Linked DNA regions of Coturnix japonica. The protein of the gene in region 1 binds, or shares a complex with, the protein of each later gene. Links are inferred from orthologs where the notes say so. Each region holds a gene or a part of one and is shown on either strand. Other genes may lie near its edges.

Region 1 (6,080 bases):
CCCGGGGGGGCTTCAGCCTTGTTCCTGTGTACATAAATTAAAAGAGAAAACGGTTTTGTATGTTTTTTTTTTCTATTGCTTTAATTATTGTTGTTATAAAGGAAAACAAAGCTTGCCTTTTTTTTTTTTTAAACTATGGTTCTGCTTTATGTTTTTTGCCCCCCCACCCTCCTTTTTATTTGGTTTTTATTCCTCCTCTTCATGTTTATAGCAGCCCCCCCCCCTTCACTTATGCAATGGGGCAGCCATAAGCATTGCATAGTGATGAGTGCTGGGGAGTCACTACTTATAGGGCAGCATGGGGAGCAGCCCCAAATCCCCCCCCTAAGATAATGAGAGCACATTGGTGGGCACAGGGCTGTGCTCCCAGGGGAAGCTGTTCCTTGTTTGCCACCAGATAAGCTCAAAGGAAAAGGTGACCTCTGCCTTCAGCTCCTTGTGTTCTCACTGCTCTCCTTCCTTGCGTGCAGGAGGGAGGATAGGGATGGAAAATGGTTGGCCATTCACAGCCCTCGTGGCTGCAGCTGCTGCAGCTTTGCTTCTATGCTGAGATCCACCCCCCCCCCCTTTCCTTCCCATGCCAGCCTGTAATATCAAGGTTCCATTTGCACATCCCCTTGGGCAGGAGCTGGATCAGCTTTGCCATCCCCTTTTGGGGTCCTTATCCCCCTCCCTGTCCCTCTCGGGGTCCTGCTCAACCAGCTGGTGGTCACCCAGGTGCTGGGATGTTTAATAGCACCGACCAGCCTGGCTCAGAGAGGGAAAAGCCATTTCCTTTTGTCCTTCTCCAAGGAGCAGATGGATGTGCCTCCCAGCGCTCTCCCTGCCGGCACAATCTTTCCCTGTTTGGAGGCTCTGAGTGAAGCACCGCCTTGAAATCCATTGCTTTCAAGCCAGTGTGTGGCCTGTGCTGCCCTCAGAAGTTCCCTCTATGAAGTACACCCACGCTCTGCAGGGCAGAGGGATCTGCCCGACATCATTAGCTGGATGCTGGCAAGACACCACCTGTATCCGCGAGCATCTTTGGCAGCAGCCTCTGAACCAAAGGGAGGTGAAGTGCTGCTAAGGGGAGGTGAGAGCTTCATGGAGCCCTGCAGCAGCTCCCTGCTCCCTCCCCAGGCTGTGTGGGAGCAGCAGGGGAAGCAGCTGCTGCCAAGGATGGGCTGCATGTAGATAACCCAACTCACAGGGTGCTGGGGGATGTGCACAGGGAGGTGGAGGTTGGCACAGTGGATGTACATACATGGAGGGCTGGTGTGGGCAGAAGAGCTCAGAAATCCTGGGACTCGGCGCTTCCCGAAGGCTGAAGGTTGGTCCGGAGTTTGTACATGTGATCCAAGGCTTGAGTAAGGAAAGTCCCAATGGTGTTGATCTCCATCAGCGTCAGGTTGTCCAGCTGGAAGAGAAAGCAGAGCCGTGTTGAAGGGAAGGCGAGGAGCCTGGCAGCATGATGACACCCAGAGGGACCAGCTAATAGAAGCCTACGACCAACCCAAGCTCTGTTCTCCCAATGCTGCTCCCCTGGGAGCCACCAGCAGCCCATCAAAAGAGGTTTCAACACGTGGCTTTAGCACCTGACATTGCCCAGTGCTCCCACATGCAGCTCTCATCAGCCTCCAACCCACCCACAGCAGCTGGGCTCCCCCCAGTGAAGCTGCCTGAGCTTTGCCCCCATCCCATCCCATCCCATCCCATCCCATCCCCATCCCCATCCCCATCCCATTAACCTTGGCATGGGCCTCCTGCTGCCTCACGAAGCTGTCTGCAGACAGCCTTAGTTTGGCCATCCGTGTGTCCCACGTGTCCTTCACCAGCGTCCGGATCTCGTCTGCTTTGGGGATGTTGTCAGAGGCGCTGGAGGAGAGAGAGGATCAGAACAGACTCGTATGTTATGTCAGTGGTGTAAGTAATGTTGGCAGCTCTTCAGCCCTCTGAGGCAGAAGCGGAGCAGTTTGCTGTATTAACCCCCCCCCCCCCTCCTCTCCTGCGACTTGATGTTAAAATCCATCCTGGTGCTTACAGGGCTGGGATTTTCAGGGTGGTTTATTTACCCAGGAATCCTCAGCTCCAATGCAATGTCTGCTTCTCACTTCAGTCCTTCTGCTCTGTAATTGCCCAGCTGGTACCAGGTACGAGCAGGGCCAATAACCGGCCCAGAACCACACACAGGAGGGGAACTGGAAGGACTAGAAGCACTGTCTGTGCTCTCGTGGTTCTATCAGGGTGTATTAAATTGAAGGGACTTGACGAGTCGTGCCGCATCCTCCCATTAAGGCAATTCAGTGCTGCCATAAGGACCTCGAGAGATGAGATCAATTCACACGGACAGAGCTGTCAGGGTTATTCTAGCGTGAGCCAAGAGCGTCGTCTCCAGAGGAGAAGCCAGTGCTTAAACGACCACCCCACTGTAATCAAGGGCTTCAAGTCAGGAGAGCCTGAGCTTAGAAAAATACCAGCCAGCACATTTTACAAGTGAAATGCCACAGCAGGCACGAGGTTAGACGAGGAATAACCCCGCTCTCTTGCTTCTCAAGCAGAGGAAAGAGGAGCTTTCCTCCTGAAGGAGAGCCAAGGAAGAAGCCTGGAGGGTTCAGGCTGCCGAACAGATTGCAGCCATGGAATGTGCTGTCTATAGTCCAGGCCTCTCCGCTCAGCTGCTGCTCAATAAAGCGGCACAGCCCCAATTATCAGGGCACGGAACAAGCCATCCCCAGTTACTGCAATGCAAAGTTACCATGAGAAAACGGCTGCGGTGAGAGATCTTGGCACGTTGTGAAATAAACCCCCATTAACTCTCCCTTTCCCACAGCCCTCTGGGGTTGCAGCCAAAAAAGCTGGATAAATTATCTATGCAAGCAACGTAGTCGGGTGGAAACTGTTCCGATGCATTTCCCACTTACTAGTTTAAGAGCAGCTTGGTGAGCTCCATGTAATAGGGGCTGGGCATCGGAGTGAAGGTGTCTTCTTTGCGTTCTTGGTCCCGGATTTCCTCCAGCTTTTCTATAACACAGATAGGGATGTCAGATGGTGGCAGACCCCCAGCTCCTGACCCACCTCTTCCAAATCTCTGACTCAAGCTGGTTTAAACATGGACAATATACAGCCAGGAGAAGGCTTTTATAATGAAGCCAAACACCCCTTACACCTAATGCCTGTCCTGGGCTCTAGGAGCAGCTTTGCCACAGCAGCTCTCAGCTCCCAAGGGAGGACAGATCCTCATCAGGGCCATAAAGCTGATTGATGACACTTGGCTCACCATGCTGGATCCACATCAGCTTGACCAAACCTTCAACACTTGCACTAATGAGTCACTGTGCCCTTGAATGAATAGAGCAGGACTGCTCCATTAAGGTCTTTTATCCCTCTACCAACCCCACTCCTGCCCACCAAAGGAGCAGGACTCAAACACCAGATTCAATTGGGAATCACTTCAATTAAGCTCCCCATTAATGGAGATAACCAGAGAGCTTCCCATGCGCCTTCTATACCCTCAGAACCTGCCGTCCTGTGTCCTTACCCACATCCATCCACTCTGGTGGGATCAGGCGACATTTCTGCCTCTGTTTCAGATTGATGGCCAACCAGACCGGCACTTCTACAGGCAAACCGGGGTTGAAAGGGCCCAGATCCCCCTGCAAAATCAATTAGAGATGAGAATAAAGGCACCCCCTTGTCCCCACACCCCCCATATCCCCTCAGCCCCCCCCCATTGCCGTTCTCCCCCCCTCTGACCCCGATCAGGTGCACTGTGTCCATGCTGAAGCTGGGTACGATGGTCACCAGCTCCTTCTCGGCCATAAACTCCGCTTCTGCCGGCTCCATTTTAATGGACCTTTAATAGGGTCCGGAACCGGCGCGCGCCCGCCAAACGCCCACGCTTCCTATTGGCTGCCGACCGACTAAGCCCCGCCCACACCACCCTGCTTCCCGCCATCTGGCTCGTTTTCGCGCCCTCCGCGTGTGGGCGGGACTCGGAGCAGCTCGGAGCGAGCTGATTGGTTGTTTCATTCACCCGTGGGTTTCTATTGGTTAACATACGGGGAGGTCCGTGTCGCTCGCCGTGCGACCAATCCCGATGCCTCCTGGGGTAGCGACCAATCAGAGTTCAGCACTTGTTGCCGGGGCGCCTCGGGGCGCTCCATGTGGTCACGGCGCTCGGAGGTGCTGCCCCCTGGCGGCCGGGAGGAGCAGTGCACCCAGCTCCGGCCTCACTATGGGCAGTAGGTCTGTCTGTCTGTCTGTCTGTCTGTCTGTCCATGGGCAGCCAGTCGTGCTCGTGAGCCAGCCATGGTCCGGCTGCTTGTTGCTTCGATTCATCAGCCAACACAGGCTCCTACTTACCATCCATCTGTCCATCCATCCGTCTGTCCATCCATCCATCCATCCATCCATCCATCCATCCATCCCCCCTTCACCTACCCACATGTCCATCCATCCACCCACTTGTTCATCCATCCGTCTGTCCATCCATCCATCCATTTGTCCATCCCCCCCTTCATCTACCCACATATCTACCCCTCCATCTATACATCCATGCACCCACTCAACCACCCACCCCCCCATCCATCCATCCTCCTACCCCCCCATCCATCCTTCCACTCATCCATCAGCCCATCCATCCATCTGTCCATCCATCTGTCCACTTGTCCATCCATCCATCCATTCCCCCTTCACCTACCCACCTGCCTGTCCATCCATCTATACATCCATGCTTCCAACCATACACCCACTCAACCACCCACACGTCTATCTATCCTACCCACCCATCCATCCCTCCACTCATCCATCAGCCCATCCATCCATCCATCCATCCATCCATCCATCCATCCATCCATCCATCCATCCATTCCTCCTTCACCTACTCACATGTCCGTCCATCCATCCATTTGTCCATCCATCCATCCATCCATCCATCCATCCATCCATCCATCCATCCATCCATCCATCCATCCATCCATCCACTCCCCCCTTCATCTACCCCCATGTCTGTCCATCCATCTATACATCCCTGCTTCCATCCATGCACCCACTCAACCACCCACCCCCCCATCCATCCCTCATCCCAATGAGCCCAAAGGCTCATTGCCCCCCACCAGCCCCCATTGGGTTGGGTAGGTCTGGGGGCTTCAGGAGTGGATCCCCCATCCATTCCCACCCCCGTGGTGCCACCAGCACACGCTGCAGCTCCGCCAGGCACTTTTATAAATGGCTCTGACATGGTGTGAATACACTTTTGTGTCTTTTGCCATCTGCTGCTGTCATTAAAAAATGAAGTTTCCATCTGCTTTTGCACGCCGTCCTCTCCCGGGGCTCTCCAATGAAGCTGCACATTGGGAAGCATCACCCCCAGCAGGGCAGGATCCAGCCCTGGGGTTGTATTGAAGCTCTTGGTGTCCCCTATGGGTGCTCAGCACTGGCTGCAGGGCGGTGACGTGCCTCCTGTTGCCCTCCATGTGTCCCTACACAACATGGTCCCTGTGGGTGTGGGTGGTGTGACGATGATGGAGGGCACGTGGAGGTGTTTCCCATCCTGTTCTGGGGTCCCGCTGCTGCCATTCCCGCTGCTCACACACATCTTCAACCCTATAGGAAGAAAGGAAAGCTGGTGAGCGGGGAGGGTACATCGATGCAATGCTCTGCTCAACCCTATACGAGCCACTGGAGAATCCCCAGAGCCCCACGATAACACAACAGAACCTTCTTCATCCCCACTGTGCTTGTTGGGGTGCTATAGCCCCCAGCTGCCCACCCTCCTGCTGGGCCACATAGAGCTCTAATCTGCTGCTTTAATCAAGAGGAAAACCCAGCTCCACACACAGCGAGCGGCCGGGGAGGTTTAATTCTTCTGCAGGAGGAAAATGCCCGAAGGGGACAGACACTGATATTTTTAATCTCTTTTTAATTAAGGATTAAGCCCTGCCTTATGTAAGAGAGCCGCAGGGGGGTGTTTTAGTGCACTGCTGTCTCGGAGCCCTGCACAGGAGAAGAGTGAGAGCTGTTGGGGATACCTGGGGGCTGCACCCCTGTGGCTCTGACCCCATTCTGGGGGTGCTTCAGTGTGGGGGATGCACAGCAGCTCC
Region 2 (5,832 bases), on another chromosome or scaffold:
ACCGGTTTCTTGGTCAGTGGTGACAGCAGCAGTCAGACCAACACCAGAGGAGCCCCTGCCAGTAGTGCCAATGGCACGGGGAGCAGTGCTCAGCACATAGCGCAGCAGCTGGGATTTGGCAACGGAAGGGTCACCTGGAAGAGAGAAGAATGTGTTTAGCAAACACAGTGTTAGCAGGGAAATGAATACACGTGACAACGAATTGGGTCGTTCATTCTTCAGAGCAGAAGGTGAGTGGATCACGTTCTCCATCATCCTGATGGGGAGAAGATGGAGCCAGGGTTTTAAGATACGTATAGTGATGGGAGAAGAGGTGACATGGATCATGGGAAGTTCTGTTTGAACAGCCTCATCTCACTCCCACAGCATCAGCCTCAGCTGCCTCTGCTCTGCCTCTCCACACCTATCAGCAAGATGTTGATGTCTCCTCGGATGCGGCTCCCATTCTCCAGGACCTTCTCCACCCCTCCAAGAAGCATGCACAGAATGGCCTTCTTGATGAACTCGTGCCCGTGGATGCTGGGTGCCAGGGACCTCGCCAGCTGGTTAAAGATATCCTAAGGCAGAAGAGGCAAAGCACAGCCTGTAAGTGGACCGAAGAACAAGTTCACAAGCCCATTACAGCACCAGAAAAGGAACTTATTCCTATCACAGAACTACACTGACAGAGGTTATTTAGATGGGAGAATACTGTTGGAATATTCTTTCCATGGGGGCTCTGAAGTCCTAGACCACCTCGCAAGCACTGGAAGCAGCAACCCCCACAAGAACAAAGATCTGAACACAGGACCAGACTGGGGGGCAGGCCCCCATTCCCTCCCCCAACCAAAAGAACTGGCATTTTGCTTTGTTTCCTTTCAGAAATCCAGGCTGTCATCTAATTCCGTTCTTAGGTTTGAGGAGGAAAAGTAGAACGTTGCAGAGGAGCTTCTCTAACAACCAGCGAGCAGTCAGGGCACACACAGCCCAGACAGAGCTCCATTTCAACAGCTACGCACAACAGAGCAGAGCCATCAGAAACTCTGCTACAGCTACATGTAATACATATGTATACATACATATATCACAGAAATTGACAAAAAGCTACGTAGAAAATGCAGGGAAAGCAAGAGGAAAATCATGGAAGGCGAGCTTAGAAATAAGACCTACATAAATACCTTGGAGCGATTCTTACTGAACCTCTTGATCTTGGCCACGTCAGTCGCAGAGTAGAGAGGCCGAGAATCTTTGCTCATCTGCTTGATATGGCAGGCAATGAGGATAGTCCTGGAATAGCGACACAGCTACAATGATGTTTGTGAAGCTCATAGAGCTTTCAGGGTCATCATAACAACAGCAGAAGTTTCATAGAACCATAGAATGGTTTGTGTTGGAAGGGATCTTTAAGATCACCCAGTTTCAACCTCCTGCTATATGCAGGGGCACCTCCCTCGAGACCAGGTTGCTCACAGCCCCATCCAACCTGCCCTATGTTTCATCTTAGAGGGATGGGACCCTGCTAAAAAGGGGTGTCAAGGCTGATGTTGTCCTTGAAGCCAGCAGAAGGCTCACCTGAACGTCCCTGATGTGTAACCTCCTTTCTTTCCTGGCAGGCAACGATAAGTCCCAACCACTTGAATGCGATCTCCAGGCTTCACTTTGTCCACCAGATCATCATCCAGAATGACATCCACCGAGCGTGGCAGCTGCCCTGCTGGTGCCTTCTCAGGCATCTCCTGGATGGAGATGGTCTGATGGTCCTTGTAGACTGAGAGGCCAAACTCTGTCTCCAGGGGGTTATTCTCCTCATCCTTAAGGAAGAAGGCACAGCAATAAAGAGATTAGCAGCACTGGGAAGAGAGCATCACCCAACACACACATGAGCACTGCAAAGGGCTGCTTTACCTGGACTACCAGATCCTGCAGTTCACCAGCAATACAGCTCCCCCTGATCTAATGCTGCCAGCATCAAGCACTGCCACATTAGAACCCTCCAAGCACTGCTCCCAATGCAGGCAGGCCATGCAAAAGAATGCACGTTCAACAGACATAGCTTAGGTCAAGCTTCCTCCATTCCCAAGCACAGGGCAATCCCTGCACACAATGGTCCACATACCCTCCAGACAGCAACCATGGGATGCTGGAATGGTTTGCATTGGAAGAAACCCTAAAGACAATCTAGTTTCAATCCCCTTGCCACATACAAGCATGCCAACCAACAGCTGATCATGTTGCCTGCTGAGCCAGCATATTCTCCCCAGAGGAACATGCAGATATTCCCCATATGAGGCCGCTTCACCTCACCTTTGTAGGGTAAACAGAGCTGGAAGGGAAAGCATCCAGGGATGTCAGGTCTGTGTATCGGCGCTCAATGGTCTTCTTGGTAGCTGGGCAATAATGGACGCTCCGGACAACCTTGGGACGAATCAGAGAGCCTGGGTTTGGAAGAAAGAAGAGTTAGGGGCAGAAAAGTCCCACTTGTTTGTCACCATGAAACCCCAAAAAGATATCCACTATATGCACAGGACAAAAGTGCTGATAACCAGAGTGCCAAGGACTGCAGCTCCCAACATTCAAGTCCACTGTTACCATCACTCCACTTGTCCTCCCATTGGTTCTGGAGGACTCCTGCTGTACCAAACACCCCGACCCTCTGCTCCTCACACCACCCAGCATCCCAACCTGCCCCCAGGCTCACACTTTGTCACGATGCCCTCCACACAAACAATGCAGCTCAGGAAGCAGGCGGTCAGCGTCCGTGGTGAGACGTGCTTGGAACCAAAGCTGCCCTCCAGCCCAATGTAGAAGTCCTCATACTGCTTGGCATAGGTGGCATCAACAGAGGCAACAAAGTCCTTCAGAGCACGCTGGAAGGCGATGAGCTCCTCAAAGGCATTGCTCAAAAGCCTGCAACAGAGGGAGGTGATGGCTGAGAGCTGCATCTTGTTGGCAACCCTGTTTGGCAGCTCTAAGAAATCCCTTCCAGATGCCTCGGTGTGCTCTGAAAGAACACTGAGAATCCCACAGCTCATGGAGACCAAGAGCCTGAAGGTGAACAAACCCAATTACATCTGAAACACCTAACAGGGGATCATTAAGGTTGGAAATACCTCTACAGTCACCCAGCCCAACCCCCCTGTGCCCACTGTGTCCTTCAGTGCCACATCCCCATGGTGGGGTCACCATCCATGGGGGTGCTCCATAACCACCTCCCTGGGCAGCTGTGCCACTGCATCACTGCTCCTCATGACAAGAGATTGTTCCTAATATCCAACCCAGACCTCCAACTCGCAGCTGTCACATCTCAACTTGTACTTAAACCATTTGCAAGTCTCTTGCAAAAAGACCCCAGAACCCTAAAGCTGAGACGCCTCACACCATGCAAACACCCGAATTTTACTGTAAGGATTCAAACAAACAGGATTTGCTCTATCAATGGGCTGCAAGCTCGTAAGGGCTGGCTGGCTGGCACAACAGCACCCCCCCCCCCCCCCCCCCGTACCGGCTGGCTCTTTTCTCGTTCCTCCTCCGCAGGTCGTTGATGTTGACCAGGAGGCGGTACTGGTTGTCGCTGATCATGTCGCGCACTTTGCCGTGGTAAACTCCTTGATCTTCCTGCACACATAGGTAACAACACAACCCTCAGTTTCACATGAGCCGTGTAAAGCCATTTCCATTTATTCCCTGGGGAATAAGCAGCCCCAGCGCCATGGCTCCTGTTGGGGGGTTTGGGGGGGAAGCGATGACCACCCCCGGTTATAAGGGGAGGCTGCATCCCGCAATACACGCCGCTGCTCACCTCATCGTCCAGGAAATCCAGGTAATCGCGCTGCGCTTCCCGCAGCTCCGCATCGTCCAGCCCGTCCGCTGGGGCTGCCATGCTGCAGGGAGGGGGTAGTAAACAGGTAAGGACCGGGTTGCTCTTTAAAGGGTCCTATAGATCCTATAGATCCCCAGCAGACCCCAAACGCCGGCCCGGATCACAGCAACCTCCACGCTTCTCTTTGGCGCCAAAACCGAGCGCTTTCCCGCCACGGCGGGGGGAGTTCCGCTCCTCATTGGGCGGCGCCGCCGGGCGTCAGCCAATGGGAGGCAAAGGGGAAGTGGCGGGAGTTGACGCGCAGCAGCGGCAGCCAATGGGAGCGGAGGAGGCGGGGCGGGGGCGGGAATGGGGCGTTTGGGGTCTGGGGTCCCGGCTGAGCTTTGGGTGTCAGCAGCGGGATGAGGATCTAAATTAGTGTATTTATTGCTGATTCCTTATTATCACTGGGGTAACACCCCGTTCCAGGTTCAAGCATCTCCCCTGCCCTCCCCCCCCCCACCTTGTAGCTGCAGATAGCAAAGCGGAGACTCCCTATGGGGTAACGGATGTCTTTTCTAAGGGGATCTTAGCAAGGAGAACGTAGGTGGCCATATATGCCATCCCATAAACTGGGAAGGAAGTGCTGTGTGTAAATCCAAAGGGAGCCCCAGCCCATAGCGGCGTTGCGGGGTTCGTCCCGCTGAAGGTATGGCTGTGAACCAAGGGCAGCAGCACGGTAACGAGTTAGGGCTAAAAATAAGCGCCTGTTGTTATTCATGAGCCTGCCCTATAGCAACAGCCTCGGCACGGAGAACGCCGAGTGAATAATTCATTGCTACAGGTCGGGGAAGGCCGAGGATGGAGGCAGCTCTTCCTATGGGGACCTTACAGGGGTAACATTAAACAGGAATCAGGCACCTGAATGCATGTAGAGCAAGGGCTGCAGTGTCTTCCTATGGTCCTGCACCCGATGCTCAGCTCCCCCAGTGCCAACATGATGCTGAGTCGCTCCCTTCTCCTGTCATGCGAAAGCAAAATAAAGCAATGAATAATACTGTGTTTCCAAGGAGGTCTGAATAGCCCAAATATAGATGGCTGGAGGTTTCGCGTTGCTATTTCTGTCTGCTCATCTGTTATCGTGAATTCTGGTTGTTACTAAAGGCAGTGACAGCTGGCTCCTTTTATTCCTGGTTTTCTCCCCTGCTACGAGCCTGGCTATCACCCATCTGCATACAAAGCACTGCTGATCTGCACCCATTAGGGATGGGATCCCACTTACCATGAGTGACCCCTCAGTCACAGGACCCAGCCATACGATGGCCTGGGTTGGAAAGGACCACAATCACCATCTGGTTTTAACCCAATGCTGTGTGTAGGGTCACCAACCAGCAGCCCAGGGGTGGTGCCCCATCCCTGCACACAGCCAAGGTCAGGCTGGATGGGCTGTGAGCACTGCTGGAGCTGTGGGTGTCCCTGTGCAGTGGGACTGATGGCCTTAAAGGGGCCCTTCCAACACATCCCCCCTACCCCTATAATAGGCAATTCTCATCCATTTTACCCCTGTTTTTGGGGTGGGGGACAGGCAGGGAGAGCCCAACCCTGCCCAGCTGAGTCGGAACCTGTTGGGATCAATCTCCGGAGCAAACACAACCACACCTGGGAGGGAATAAAGCGGGTGATTCATTTCAGGGTGTAAAGTACCCCGAGCTTAACAGATCAGAGCATCTGGGGAGGCACGTAGCAGGTCAGGGGGCGAGCAAACAAAGCGATGCCCACAAAGCTTCGGTTGCAAAGCATTTGTAAGACCAGAAGGAGACGGAACAGCCGCTGATCAACCCGAGATCCGGCCGGTGGGGCAGCCCGGGGCGGGGCTGAGCGCATGCGCTCGGTGCCTGGAGGCGGTGGCTGCGGGACACGGCGGTGCGGTGCGGTGAGTGCGGGCGGCTGCGGGGACAGGGAGAGGGGACAGCGAGGAGAACCGCTCCGGGTTCAGTTTGTGTGTCCATGGTGATGGTTTGGGGGTTTTGCTCCCCTGGGGCTGTTTGCTGTGG

The links. Proteins that work in one complex are often made in the same cells at the same time.
Region 2: GINS2 (region 1) and MCM3 share a complex: the UniProt entries of both Homo sapiens proteins name them as parts of the CMG helicase complex. The link is inferred for Coturnix japonica from reciprocal best matches to the Homo sapiens genes GINS2 and MCM3.

Annotation. Positions count from the first base shown.
Region 1 is NC_029526.1:15,692,773-15,698,852, reverse strand, and holds the start of GINS2 (DNA replication complex GINS protein PSF2), read right to left. Parts: upstream 3,890-6,080; 5' UTR 3,823-3,889; coding exon 3,733-3,822; intron 3,633-3,732; coding exon 3,518-3,632; intron 3,001-3,517; coding exon 2,901-3,000; intron 1,855-2,900; coding exon 1,728-1,854; intron 1,397-1,727; coding exon 1,271-1,396; 3' UTR 1,244-1,270; exon of another isoform or gene 102-1,243; intron 25-101; exon of another isoform or gene 1-24. UniProt on the Homo sapiens protein: Required for correct functioning of the GINS complex, a complex that plays an essential role in the initiation of DNA replication, and progression of DNA replication forks.
Region 2 is NC_029518.1:98,090,248-98,096,079, reverse strand, and holds the start of MCM3 (DNA replication licensing factor MCM3), read right to left. Parts: upstream 4,043-5,832; 5' UTR 3,860-4,042; coding exon 3,779-3,859; intron 3,595-3,778; coding exon 3,482-3,594; intron 2,887-3,481; coding exon 2,678-2,886; intron 2,415-2,677; coding exon 2,284-2,414; intron 1,791-2,283; coding exon 1,552-1,790; intron 1,267-1,551; coding exon 1,158-1,266; intron 558-1,157; coding exon 404-557; intron 135-403; coding exon 3-134; intron 1-2. UniProt on the Homo sapiens protein: Acts as a component of the MCM2-7 complex (MCM complex) which is the replicative helicase essential for 'once per cell cycle' DNA replication initiation and elongation in eukaryotic cells.